Linked DNA regions of Mytilus edulis. Each later gene encodes a partner of the first gene's protein in a complex. Links are inferred from orthologs where the notes say so. Each region holds a gene or a part of one and is shown in the gene's direction. Other genes may lie near its edges.

The links.
Region 2: cysteine desulfurase-like (region 1) and LYR motif-containing protein 4-like share a complex: the UniProt entries of both Drosophila melanogaster proteins name them as parts of the mitochondrial core iron-sulfur cluster (ISC) assembly complex. The link is inferred for Mytilus edulis from reciprocal best matches to the Drosophila melanogaster genes Nfs1 and bcn92.

What each region holds. Positions count from the first base shown.
Region 1 is NC_092348.1:85,717,189-85,724,830, reverse strand, and holds the start of cysteine desulfurase-like, read left to right. Parts: upstream 1-4,619; 5' UTR 4,620-4,675; coding exon 4,676-4,796; intron 4,797-7,642. Other genes in the region: pyruvate dehydrogenase [acetyl-transferring]-phosphatase 1, mitochondrial-like, read right to left, coding at 1-572. UniProt on the Drosophila melanogaster protein: Catalyzes the removal of elemental sulfur from cysteine to produce alanine. It supplies the inorganic sulfur for iron-sulfur (Fe-S) clusters.
Region 2 is NC_092348.1:3,985,612-3,993,395, forward strand, and holds the start of LYR motif-containing protein 4-like, read left to right. Parts: upstream 1-4,770; 5' UTR 4,771-4,826; coding exon 4,827-4,906; intron 4,907-7,782; coding exon 7,783-7,784. Other genes in the region: phenylalanine--tRNA ligase, mitochondrial-like, read right to left, coding at 99-258, 1,072-1,641. UniProt on the Drosophila melanogaster protein: Stabilizing factor of the core iron-sulfur cluster (ISC) assembly complex that regulates the stability and cysteine desulfurase activity of Nfs1 and participates in the [2Fe-2S] clusters assembly on the scaffolding protein IscU.

The sequences.
Region 1 (7,642 bases):
AAGTTTGCTAATGTTTCTTTGGCAAATTTAGCCAAGTTATCCTTGTATATTTGATCAAGTTCATGATTGAAGTACTGTGACTGATAAGGGTACCAGTCTACAAGTTTGTCATGTCCCTCGTTGTCACATGCAATGTCTTTCAAAATGTCTTGCGTTGACATTGAGACTGAAATATAGTTAAATAATCGTTCACTGAGAGCTTGAGAACATGCACTACCACCATGTCCATCATAAACACCGAAAATGTACTTGTTTTTATCTCCATGAGTCAACTTTGCTACTGTGTCACGATCTTCAATTGGTTTATTTGCTGGTAATTTATTCACTTCAAAGTTTTTAATAGGACCATCTGCATCCACTGATACTTCATTTATTTTCAATATCGATGAGACTTGTTTTCGAGTCAACAGTGCGACGTCTGAACTTAAATACCCATGCCTCTGTTTAAATTTTAAGAAAAATCTTCTAACGCTTTCAATTTGTCCTTTCGTATGAACTTCTTCAAAAGGTTGTGAAAAAACTTTTTTCTTCAAACCTATATCAATCCTCTTCAGAGGACAAGTTCTTAACATTCTGTTTTGCACGAAACATAAGTCACTCGATCTTGTCCTTTTCGGTTTCGACTGCTTTGCTTGTCAACCTTACTCAAGGGGTTAGTCTCCCTTTAACAGGAGCATGCAGTATAATCACTGATCAGAACTCTAATAAATCTCATTAATTACCGAAAAAGGGTAACACTGGAAGAAGAACAGCACGACCCACTGTAATATTCGCCCTACTTTTTCAACAACTCGTCCCACTTTGTAAAAAATCGCCCTGTCTGGAACCAACTCGCCCAAATTGAGCCGCACTGGCTCGTCTCAGTTATGAAAAACGGTTAAGGTTGGATTGTAAAAATTAGAGAACATAGCAGGTCCTGATTTTCAATCAAGTTAGCAAAATTTGATGCAGGAATGAAGATAACTAATGTGAATGTTCATGTAAAAGAACAAATGTATAAGATTCTAAGATGAAATAGTGCATTTTCTTAAGGAATCTACATGGAATTTTCCTATTTTGTATTTTAGTCGTGGAAAACACACGGGTTTTTTCCGAGTTATGGTATTCTCAAAGCATTTTCTAAAAGCTATCTTATCGTATTTAATTTTACAATTCTATCATTTAGTTTAGCTTCTGAGCATAATGTTTTTCCTGTATACATAATTCATAAATCCCTTCCACAGTTGGAGTAAAACATTCTAAGCCCTACCTTATTTTCTTTTTATATAAATGATTTAACCTCAATGTTTGATAACACATGTGATCCTGTAACATTGCATGACATAAAATTGTCTAGTATGACTTAGTATTAATATCAGAATCTTCAGAATGTTTACAAAATTGTCTTAACAAGTTAAACACTTATTGTGAAAAATGGAACTTGACTGTCAATCTTGACAAGACAAAAACAATGATATTTAATAAAAGTGGTAAAAAACTTACTAAAGACAAGTTTGTATTGAATAATGAAGTAATTGAATGTTGCACAGAATATAAATATTTAGGTATACTATTCAAGCCATCAGGATTTTTCACTAATGCTGCAAATATCCTCTGTAAAAAAGCATTGTTTTGTATTAAAAAAATACTCTACTCAGATAAGATGGATGTTTTTCCCCATATGAAACTGTTTAATTCCTGTGTTAGCCCAATATTACTGTATTGCAGTGAGATATGGTCGCTAAATATTGTGAAGAACAATAAAACTCTTAAATCTCAATACTTATCTATGGAATCAGTAAAACTCCAGATCAAATTTTCAAAAGGTCTTCTAAATGTTAATTCAAAGGCAGTAAATACAGCTGTATTAGCTGAATTGGGAATGTACCCTATTGGTATACAGGCCCTTAAGTCTTCTGTAGGATTTTGGTTACATATTTTAAAGTCAAATGAAAATGAGTCTTTATTATATAATGTTTATAAAGCTAACAAGCAGTTAAATGATGGATTTGCTTCAAAAGTAAAAATCATAGGCGGATCCAGGGGTGGGGGGCTGGGAGGCCCGGGCCCCCCCTTTTCGTGGGAAAAATTTGGTTGCTAATATAGGAAATCACTGAAGCATGACTGGATCCCCCCCCCCCCACCCCTTAGGTCAGTCAGCTGGTCCCCCCTTATGAAAAGTTCTGGATCCGCCACTGAAAATGCTACTTTCAAAATTGAATTTCACTCATGTTTGGGAAAATCAATGTACCTTTTCTAAAAAAAAGATTACTTTTAGCCGTCGTGAGAGAAGCTCAATGAAAATTACATTACATTTTGGAAAAATTGTCTCTTTAATGATGATAATTCAATAAATGGAAATAAACTAAGAACCTACAGAAAATTTAAAGTAAAGTGTGAACTAGAAAAGTACCTTTTATTGAAATAGATAAAAATGTTACAAAAAATTATGCTAAAATAAGAATAAGGAATAGTATACTGGCTATTGAACGCGGTAGATACAACAAAACAGCTTTAGAAAATAGAATATGTCCTTTATGTCATAAAGAGGTGGAAGATGTATTTCATTTTATCATTATGTTCAGAAATTAATAAAACTAGATCAAAATGTTGAATGAAATTTCTAGTATTGTCCCCAGTTTTAATTCAATGAGTGAAGAAAACAAATTTGATTTTATATTTTCCTGCGAAGAATGTGATATTTTACTTATCATTGTTAACTATATAAGTGAAATGTATAATGAGAGAAAAAAATATAATGTCAATATATGATCTGTGTAATTGGTGGCCCAACTTATAATGTTATGACGTTATGCGCTATGTTCGTACATGTAAGCGTAACACAACGTCCCGAATATTTCGTAACGTTCAAACCAAAACTTCGACTAAAACGTTGTTTTTAAGCAAGTGCGACATTCTTGTAAGACTCCGCAAAATCGTCGGTGCTTTTTAACTACTTATTGAAAATTGATGTATTTTAGTTTTTGAAAAATTAAGAAAAATAACATTTTCAAAAATCATAAAATTCTACCATTAAAAGAGCACTGATAAGCAAACAATTGACGTAAATTTGAGGTGAGTTCGTTTTTACGTCAAAAAATGGCAGTGCGACAACCTTGTAAGCCTTTGAAAAATCGCTCATAAATTACCATATATCATTTTTCTGGCCATGATATTTGTCTTTAACTTCATAAAATTAAGCAAATTAACATTGATGTAGTAAAAACAAACACTACACTAACCCATTTCCATTTTAGATAAATGTTTTTTAATTCTCAAATCTGGAATCCAAATTTTTTTCCCCGTGGGACAGGTTTGCCCTTGTAGTATGGATCTTTTTTTCTATTGCGTCATTATAACGTCATAAAGAATGCATAACAAACTGAAGGAACCTTTATGTTAAATAATGGGAAAAAAAACGTTTTTCAAAATATTAAATAGTTTAGACGAAAATCATAGTTTAGTGGTTACAATAAATGAAATATGTTACGCGGGACAGCCTAAAAATAGCCGGTTTTTTTAAATGAAGCTTGTCGCATGCAGCATTAAACATAGTTTCAACAATTATTTTTTTCGTTTTTATTTTAAAAAACATTATTTTTTCAAAAATTCGTACAATAGCAATGAATGTGATATCACAAAACTATATATTTTGGACTTGGATCTTGCCAACTACACCGATTTTCCAATGAGGTACGAACATCGCGCGTGACGTCTATAAATGAAATGTATAATGAGAGAAACAATTATAATGTCAATATGAACTGTGTAATTGATGGCCCAACTTATAATGTTATATATATATATAAGCATAATATTTGAATTGATAATTTGAAAGAGGAGACATGCTGTCAAAAATAGTATTATAGTTAATATTAATAACTTTTTTTTTTCAATGCTACATGTTTGTAGTGTTTAATGCCTAGTTTTGTAATTAATATGCCTGTCTGTCTGTTTCTTTGTTTTTGTTTTTGTTTTGTATTTTAGTAACAATCCTATTGTTTGGATTTTAGACTAATAAAATTCTTATTCTTATTATAAAATGTGTCATTTTGTCAAAACCTGTAGCTTGAGCAAATGCGCTGTGACCTATCATTCTTATCCTATTTTTTTTTTTTAAAACATTTATCAACATGAGACTGATGCTTTATTACTATAGTTTTAACTTTTTGTACTATTTCTATCTAATTCTAATCTGAGAAAAAAACCACATGTGTTACAGAAGTCTCAATAATAAATTATCAATCTTTCATACCAGCCAACTTTTCAAAATGCCCATGGGGGTTTTGCGTGCAAGATGGCTGTCATAGTCCTAAAAAACCATAAACGGGGCCTGCAAATACATTTAAGGTAGTTTTTTGGCTTCTTCATACTTTTATAAGCCTAAAGTTATTGTAAAATTAATTTTTTTGTTTAAATTTTGGACAAAATTGCTCTTTCAAAATTTTAATTTGGGAGCCTCCATGGGGGAAATCCCCCACAAATAGTGACAGTTGACAGGTATGAATTTTCTTTAAATTCTATCTTGAACATGAAGCAATTATGTACGTTTTCGAATATTCGTGTTGGTATTTGTATATTTGGTAATCGGATATTGTTTGAGTGATTCTGGTTATAATCAATACTACTGTTGATTATTGGCTGCATAGTACTACAATTATGTAAAGCAATTTCGACAGAAGAAAATAAATATAAAATGGCACGACTTTTCAGAAATTTTCGCTTTGTATTACAAGTTGTGAACAGCACAACTCAGTCAACTAAGAGATATTTACAGGCGAATGTGACTGACAATGCTCAGAAAGTTGCAGTTGCAGGTATACAGCCATTACATGTGTCAAAAAGACATTGAAAGATACATACACGTTGTTTCATAATGTTCATGGAACTCTTAAAATTAAGATATTAAAAATCATCAATTTAGACAGAATAAGTAGACTGATAGCAATATAGATCTTGTTAAAGAACATGACATGTACATTTACACACCAATATAAATATTTGTTTTGATTTGTATCGTCTCGTATTTCAACGTATTGTGTTTTCGACGATCTTACGTTTTCGACCTAATTCTACTTTCACTTCCTGTATGCAGTTCATGCCCATGTGACGTCATATTCGGCTGCTATTCTTAGTAAGAATAAGAATAGCAAATGATAACATGTGTGGTGAAAATTTTCTTAATAAAGTTATTTTAATTAAGTATTTACGTTTTTTTTTATTTTATATTACATTTTTGTACCCTTTCCCTAATACACCTTATCGCTATTTGTCCGCCATTACTGGATATCACATAGGTTCCTGTAAAATTTTGACGTCAGGCCACAATTAAAAATATTTCAGTTTGCCCAAACCCGACCCATGATGACTGGGTCTGGGTACGTAGGTTGGCAAATTCTTTTTTTTTTTTTTCAGAATTTGCATGAAAATATGAAAAGGTCTTAAAACAGTACATCTTTTTTTTCCGTCAAACCTTTGTAGAGTCAACCAAAAGCCATGAATTTAAAACCTCTATAAATAAATTAGTCTACTTTATATCCTGAGATGTTTATAACCCTGACTGTGTGAAAGGGTTGGTGGATTTATGAAGTGATTTTCAACAGTTACATCAACAAGATGTTTGTGAAAAAAAAATATCAGCTGATGTATGTAATAATTTAATTTGTTTGCAGTTTTTAAATCCTATATCTTTTAAAATAGATTAAATGTCCTAAAATATTTTATATGAATTATTATCTACCATCCATAGTTTCTGTCTTTTTATGTTTTGAAAACAAATTTATATTTTTACATTATCACACAGGTAAACTAATTTGGCTATAAATAGACCAAAACATGTTCTGTAGAATCTCCAAACTAAAAACGTATTTGTTATAATTTTATTTCTTTAAATAATCAAGTTTAAATTTTTGAAAATAATCATTATTGATAAAATATAATTGCATAAAGTTAACAATTTCTGAAGACTATTTATTTTTAGGTCATGGTTCTAGAGGCTTCCTCACAAATTTGTATAAAAATCCAACCATATCATGTGTTTACTTTTGCACATGTGAAAAAAATATTTCTGACAAAAGCCAGATTTTTCTTGTCAAAGGGGATTTATATTGCACTAAATTATTCAGAAAGAGTTACATTCAGTTAAGATTATATTTCTTATTCTGTGAGCAATTATAGTTTAATCAAATTCTCCCAAACAGCAACTTATTGATTTTGTCAACTGAGGCTTGTAAATTTGAACTATTTGAATAAAAGGGCATCTAATTCACATGATAAAGGAAGATTATAATTAAAGACAACAATTTATCAAGAAGTAATCCCTTTTTATTCAATAAATACAAAATCTTCTTGCAAGATTGTAAATTCGCAACTTCCGGATCCATTTCCTGTCAGAGTAACATTGAAAATATTCGATTGCACATGGTTTTGAACAAATCTACCTGAATATTCTTATCAGATCTTCGATTACACGATGAAATTAACATTGAGCATATAGGTAAGGGTTTGGTAGTACAGACAACTACAGCGTAAAACAAAAACTGTGCCACTTCACATTTTTCACTTCTTTACGTTCGTTAAATCAGAAGATAAAAACAGAGAACATGGAAGATCAATTAACTGCGTCTCTTATGCGCTTTCTTTTAATCTCATTCACAGTTACTTTCAAACGCAAAGATAACAAACATTAAGTTTTATACAATGACGGAGCGGACATGAAAAGAATCCGCAAAAAAAAAATCTTCTAAAAAAACGTCAAAAAAAGAATTTGAGTCGGCGGGTTTATTTTGGGTCGGTCGCGTTTGGGCAAACATACAATCTTTTTATTTTGGCCTCATAAAACATAAATATCTGACGCCACAATGGAAAAGTGATTGTTGTATGCGTCTAAAGTTCAAGCGGCTGGGTCAGCCAGGTTTAGCGATAAGGTGTATACCTTCCAAAAGAATCAATCTAAAATAAACATTTAATGAATGTGTATTATATCTAATTCACATGATAAAGGAAGATTATAATTAAAGACAACAATTTATCAAGAAGTAATCCCTTTTTATTCAATAAATACAAAATCTTCTTGCAAGATTGTAAATTCGCAACTTCCGGATCCATTTCCTGTCAGAGTAACATTGAAAATATTCGATTGCACATGGTTTTGAACAAATCTACCTGAATATTCTTATCAGATCTTCGATTACACGATGAAATTAACATTGAGCATATAGGTAAGGGTTTGGTAGTACAGACAACTACAGCGTAAAACAAAAACTGTGCCACTTCACATTTTTCACTTCTTTACGTTCGTTAAATCAGAAGATAAAAACAGAGAACATGGAAGATCAATTAACTGCGTCTCTTATGCGCTTTCTTTTAATCTCATTCACAGTTACTTTCAAACGCAAAGATAACAAACATTAAGTTTTATACAATGACGGAGCGGACATGAAAAGAATCCGCAAAAAAAAAATCTTCTAAAAAAACGTCAAAAAAAGAATTTGAGTCGGCGGGTTTATTTTGGGTCGGTCGCGTTTGGGCAAACATACAATCTTTTTATTTTGGCCTCATAAAACATAAATATCTGACGCCACAATGGAAAAGTGATTGTTGTATGCGTCTAAAGTTCAAGCGGCTGGGTCAGCCGGGTTTAGCGATAAGGTGTATACCTTCC
Region 2 (7,784 bases), about 82 Mb from region 1:
CTACGTATATATTGTGCAATGTCACATCTGTATTGTCCCCTCTGTATGAAGATAAAACATGATAATATAACTCTTTACATATATTGCTATACACAAACCTTTTCCAAACAACTTAAAAGCAAGATTTTCTAAAGTAGATTTTAATTCATGTTCCAGGATCATCACAGCTTCTTTCGTGTGCAATGGCTGTTTGGTTTCATTTTTTTCACCATTTTCAAAAATCTGGTAATCACCAGTAATGTTCATTTTGGAAAAAAGCTGCAAGTTAAAATTGTTCAATTAAAAATAGTATGAGAAGAGTTAATACAATCATGTAGTGACCCCCTATGTAGTGCAAAAAACATCTGCTTGACACTAATACCATTTTTAAGCTAAAAACAAAAGTTGACACTTGTCACACACAGACAAAAGTAAATTTATAATGTGATTCCAAGGTCAAGTTCAAGGGAATATTTTTTTTCAACCCTTTTCTTTTGTTATGGGATGTGACGTACTATGATAAGTTGGTATTACCTCTAAATCAAAGCAAATGAACCTTCCTGTTTAAGCAGCTAACTATGAATCGAGATGTGACATTTACATGTTATTATATTATTATTATTTTTATTGATACATGACTTAGTTTAAACATATTTATTTATCCTGGATTGGGAAACAAGTTCTGCAACTTATATTAATCCCTTTCCACTTTACAGGTGGGAGTGCTGCCTTGTAGTGGCATAAGCCAGCTCTTTTTTGAAGTCTACAAGGGTGTCTTTAACATGCAAGAGATATGGCTCTCTTTCAACACGGGTCCGCCATTTATTGTCCCCTTCCCACAGACTATCATCGTTTCCTCAAGAACATACTCACAAATGGTGTCAAGGGAGAGCCTAAAATTCGGTCCCTAAAATTTTCACCCAAAAAAGGGATTTGAACCTGGAACCTTTGTGTTTGTAGTCTGATGCACTAACTACTACACCACCGCTCTTTGACTCATGCTTAACCTTACTGTCTCTAAAGTCAAATATTTCACTCAAAATGTGTCAATTATAAAAAGGTTAGAATATTTAGAAATTTATTTCTGCTTACCTCCTGGCCTCTATAAAGTCTTACTCCTTCTGCCTGGTGGAAAATTGGATAATGACTTGAATCAATAGTATCTCTCCTATACACATCACCAAATACAAGGAAGGCATTCAGTCCAGTTCTTATTAAATCACTTTGATGTGCTGATGTATGAGCACGTAACATGTACTCGGAATTCAGGTAAAAACTCTCAGACACTTTCCTACTGACATGATCCTCTGGCACTAATAAACTATCAAAATTCTGATGCAACGTTACAACTGGGCTGATACTGTCATATACAGAAAACACAGGATTTTTCTGTCGATTTATAAAATTCTTGTAAAAGTAATCAACTATTTGTTGTTTTAATAAATTTAAAGGATGGTGTTTCATATTATGTAAACCAATTCCAATTTTTGGTATTAAGCTTGATCTAATATTTGTTACATGATCAGTTTTATAAGTCTTTCCTAACAATTCAATTGTACCATTTTTCTCTGATAACTTTGGACTTGTGCAATAACAACACCTGATCAACTGAAATCTTCTTAATGAATGTTTCAATGTGGCATGTAAGACTGGACAAATCATCTTGGTACCAAAATAATCCTGAAATATAGAATAAAATAACTTTTCTCATAAGATCAATAAGAAATTTCTAATTTACAGTTTTTGTTTACATAGATATAAGAAGATATGGAATGAGTGCCAATTGAGACAAATCTCCTTATTATAATAGGTCAAAGTATTGTCTTAAACACAGAGCCTTGGCTTACACTGACTGAGCAGCAAGCTATAAATGACTAGTGTATACATGTATGTATGTATGTACATGTATGTATGTAATCAGCAACTAGTTTGACCCCATTTGTAGCTACAATTGTTTTTAAATGGAAAGTATGAACATTTGACTATTACTACAATGTACTAATGACTATTTACTTATAATCTATTTTAAAATAAGGAAAATATTATTGTCATGTAAATGTCCTTGGCCTGTGTTGATGGCTACTACAAAAGAAATATGTCTAGTTAATTTAGCAAATAGTTATCAACATGAATATGTAACATTTAAAAATTAAAAAAAAATATAGATAAGGATGTAGCTAGATATTCCATTTTTTTTTAAATTTTGTCTTGTCTTTTTCTTTTCTATTTTTTCCTTTATTTTGAACTCCTGTAATCCTATCTATCATGTCTATTAATCATTACTATTTATCAATTTTTATACTTTTTAGAATTTTTTCTTTTGATCTATTCTATAGAAAAAATATTTCCAATTATGGTGTATCTTTAATAATGACATTGTATAATATATGTATGTATGTCATGTATATGTTTTAAATGTTGAAAATAAAATAATAAAAAAAAATTGACATACATCATGTACATGATAACGAAAAATGAGCTGCATTTAAGCAGTTTTCATGCTTGGCCAGTGCAGCCAATGTATGAATTTTGACTCTATTTATTTACAAGACTTATACATGTTATAAAACTACTACTTACTGCAAATTCAAAAATTATTGTGTGCATTTATCATGTTTATTACTGGGATTTTGTCATTTTAGACTAAAATGTGATTTTTACCTTTCGGGATACAGAGAAAAATCCTGTTTAATTCATATAAATTTTTTTTATAAAATGCTAGTTTAAAATATTGTGATTATAACGTACCTGTATATACATAGCATTTTTTTGCAATAATAAAAACCTCTCAATAATTTCTGAATTTACAGTTTTAAGCATGTTTGGCCTGTATGAACTTAAATTATATGTGGATAATTGAAATCTACAAAATATTCAAAAAATCAGTGTCAGGCCTGCATATTGAATGTATTGCTGCAAATTTTAAATTCATTGACATTGTGAAGACATTTTTGGGGGAATATATAGCTTAATTTGTCGACCTTGTGAATCAAAATACATGTTAGTATGTAATGTGAAACAGATGAAATTGAGAATAGAAATAGGAAACATGTCAAACAGACAGCAACCCGACCAATGAGTAGATAACAGCCAAAGGCCATGCACCAATGGGTCTTCAACGCAGCTAGAAATTCCTGCACCTGGAGGTGGTCCTCAGCTGACCCCTAGCATTCCTAGATAAAAACTGTATTCTAGTTCAAGTTAAAATTTACCACACACTACACTCCAATATATTTAAATGATCTCAAAATAAAAATTAGACGGCTTGTTTCCTTTTAAAGTTTCCTAATCATGCTAATACAAAAGTTTAAATTGCCAACATCTAGTGAGTCACTGCATATTTCTAGGAAATAAACTTCATCAAGAGGGCACTGTGAACGTCTAAATCAGATACATGTATTTGCATAGTCCAAAAATTATGACGTCTTGAAAGGCAATTATACTTTTTTGCCTTGACACCTTACAATGCTTACAGCCTTGTTGTAAGGCTTCAAAGCAAAAAAGTACATGAAGTATAAGAGCCTTTCAAGATTTATGAGATATCTCTCTTACTCCACAGAGAATATTTAGATGTCTACGATGCACTTAATATTTATGATCCAATACAATCTTTGTCTTTAATGGCTGACTGCCAATATAAGGGAGGTTATAGAAGGGTGAATCTTCAGGTTGTCTACCCCATGTCTACTGGTGAATTATTGTTGTCATTGAATTTGAATCATTGTTTCTATTTCCACTGCTGAGTGTTTGTGTGTTTGTCAGAATGAGGCAATTTAAAACACCTGATTGTCTGTTTATAACTCTATGACGAGATTTTTGTCTGTTTATAACGCTATGACGAGATTATTGTGTATAAAAAGATTTTTTTGAATCACAACAACACTAGAGGTTGATATTCAATTTATTTTCTGAAACTGTCATCTGAACTTTTTGCACTTCTAGTTAGAGATGGGAAGAGCTAAAAACAGAACTGTTGACTTGCTATTAGCTTATCATTGTTTCAAGTCTTCATAATTATTTGAACTAATATTTGCAAAGAATGATACATTCTACTTGACCATAGCCAAAAAATAATCTAAAAGGAGTATGCATCATTCAGAGGCATTACCGGTTCTACTTGACCATAGCCAAAAAATAATCTAAAAGGAGTATGCATCATTCAGAGGCATTACCGGTTGCAGAGGGGCAGACTCCAGGTGGTGGTGGTGGTGGTGGTTGGGGGGGGGGGGGGGGGGGGGGGGGCTGGGATGAGTTGGACCCCCCTTTTATTTTTAAATCAATGCATGTGAATGGGTAGTCCAAATAATTATGACGTCTTGAAAGGCTATTATAATTTTTTTCTTTGACGCCAACCGAAAATGGCGGCTTCAGCATTATGACGTCGATGTAAGGCGTCAAAGAAAAAAATTATAATAGCCTTTCAAGACGTCATAATTATTTGGACTAGTGAATGGGGGCAAGTTGGAGCCCCTCTTTTATCTTGGGTTACTCCCTTTTAAAAATGACTGCATCCGAAATTCAGGCTGAATGGTATGTGCTGCCAAAATCACAAGGTCAGTTGACAGATAGTATATTTTTCTTTCGATACAAACATGGTTGGCTGAAAAATAGGTCTCTATCACAATGAACATGATGAAACGCAAACAATGAGTCTTCGAGAAAAAAAAATCAAACATGAAACAATGTCATACATGTAATACTATGATGTTACTGTAATAGTTAAAAGTAGCTAATATTCAACTTTCGATTCCATGTTGTTGTTTACCAAAAATACAAGTCCTTTCGGGAGTCGACTCTAAAATTAGTCAAATATAAAGGGAGATAACCAAAGACCGAAAATTAAAAACATGGGTTCAAGATCAAAAGCGCTTGCCTTATATAAGCAAATACTTCAAGAAAGTAAAAAGTTTACATCGTACAACTATAGGTTAGTTGTGAAATAATTTGATCGTTTGCACCTTTTTCGTCCGATATTCCTCTCATTTTTTCTAGATTCCATTTTTTTCTAAATTCATCGGCTTATCTCTCATGGACAGGTCAAATCGGCACATGGTCAATTCGGCACTGATAGAAGAAGTCAATTCGTCATTTAGTCAAAAAGACACCTATTCAAATCGTTACTTATTTAATGTCATTTCCCCTCTTGGCTAATCAATTCGACACCATTACAGTGTTTCCATAATTGAGGGTAGGATTGCCCTTAGTAAGGTCGGATCTCCAGTAGTTGGTGATCACAATACTGGTATACCAGTATTGTCCACAATACTGGTATAAAAATTTTGTACCAGTATTGTTACTTTTTATAAAAAAAAACCCAGCAATACTGGTACATTACTGATATACCAGTATTGTAGTTGTATTGTTGACTAGACTATATTGAAGATCAAAGGGAGATTAAATGGAACTCAAAAAGATTATAGAGGATAATTGTGAAATCAATTAGCAACCAGTTAAAAGTCATTACTATACTTGCACAAATAAACAAAGGATTATTGAAATTAACTCATATCATCATTATTATTTAAACAATTGCTAATAATTTTATCTTATTTCTATATTTTATTTAATTTAATATAGATAAAATAAAATAAAAGCTTATTATTATCTGAGCAATAATTTAATAAATTCAAGCAAATTATTAGACTCTAACACTGTAAATTCAGCATTTACATGTATGCCATCACATATTTTGACAGATATTTTAATACATGTATACATTTTTTGTGTACTAAGATCATATGCATTTGTTTGTCTTTATTTTCTTATTAATCTTTCACAACAAAAGATATCAACATAATTAATTAATTATAAAAAGTTGCTTTATAGGGGAACCTTGTTATAATCAAATTAACTAGTTTGTCTACATAAATGTTAAGGGTTGAAGCAGTTGATTCAGAACCATGGACAATACAATTAGTAGCAGATACATGTATATCTACTGGTACAAATACTAGACCAGCATTCTGACAGTTAGAGAGCTATACAAATGCTATCTGAAATAGCTTGTAATCTAGTAAGCGTTAGAGAAAGTCCACAGAGACTGAATACCTGAATACCAATATAGGAAGGGGGAGGGGTTGCAGAAATCACATCTGAAGAAGAAATACCAATGCTGATGATACAGAAGCTATAACAGCATTAATGTCAATATAAAATTCACTAAAATATACTACATGAATCTTGGAAAGAGAGAGAGCTGAAAGAAAACATAGAAGAAAGTACAGAGTTTGTTAAAATGCTGAGACAGAAAGGTTAAGAAAAAAACATCAGAAGATTTAAAACTTTATTTGATGCCAATCACAGTGTACCATCTATGGCATCATCAGTTAAACACAATCATTCCTAATAAAATTGTCATGTCATATGTTAATTTCATTATGCATATATGTGACACCTTTATAAAGATTAATTACCTATATTGTTTATTTAAAAAAAGCACAATACTGGTACAATACTGGAATACAATACTGGTACAAAATTTTTATACCAGTATTGTGGTATACCAGTATTGCGATCACCAACTACAGGAGATCCGTAAGGTCTTAGTCCAAATAATTATGACGTCTTTGGAAGGCTTCCCAGAAAAAAAGTAAAATAGCCTTGCCAGACGTCAAAATTATTTGGACTAGAATGCCCTTTGTCGTCAGTCACCAAACAGTCATTTTCAGATAATGTAAGCATCAACTTTAATAGTTATAATTTCACTGTGATTGGTCAAAATAGTCTTATTGTAATTTGATTTAAGGTAAACACAATGAATGGAAGATGTATACTATAATATAGACAATAGACAATAATTATAAGCAAAACACCCATTTACATTAAAGGTGCATGGTTTAAGCTTACAGTATTGAGACAATAAACTGACAAAAATTAGGATACATATAATTAAAAGAAACATAAGTTATACAGATCGATGATGTTCTCAATAAAAAACGATCTGAAATTAATATATGTATCCTTCAATGACTAGGAATATTTTTGAAGGCCTTAGGATTGCTAATGTAGGCAGTTATTGCATGAATTGACTGATGGGATGCTAAAATATGAAGACAAGGACAGGAATCAAGAATTATAGTTCAAAATTTCACTTCAGCTATTTTCAGGGGTCACTCCTGATCAACAAAAGTTAGATGCCCCTTTTTTTTTTAAACCACAGCCTGACACTGCACAAATGAACTTATAAATGTAACGACTATTTCACTGCATATTAATCACTATCCTTGTAAATACATTCAAATTGATATTTTGTTGAGAAAGAACTGAGGATACATAGTCATTATGCATGGGATATCAATTTTTTTGAGGATTTTAAGGATAACGAATTTAAATGTTTGAAACTAGTAAGTAAAAATTTTGTATAGGCTTGTATGCAAACTTTGAAACCATGTTGGAAATCAAATGTTCATGAAAACGTTTTTTTTCTTGGTCAGTTCTTTTATGTAAAATGGAAAGCAGTTTTGGATTAAAAATGTGCGAGTTCATGAGATTATTAAACTGTCTATTTTAAGATTTGTCTCCAATGACACAGACATATTTAAAATTTATGCACAAAAAAAAGTTCATCCGACATGTATGAATAAAACATAGAATTGATTATCTGCTGTGTTGGCTTAGAATATGTATAATCACATGATAATGGTGATATATAGGGTTGATATTTTTAGAGAATAATGTGCAAATCTAGGATAATCTGATCAATAATTATTTGGTTGAATTTCAAATAAAGCATTTATCATGTTTATGAAAACTATGTCTCAAAATTTTTCATCAAAAATTGAAGTTTTGTTTTTTCTGTTTCAGAA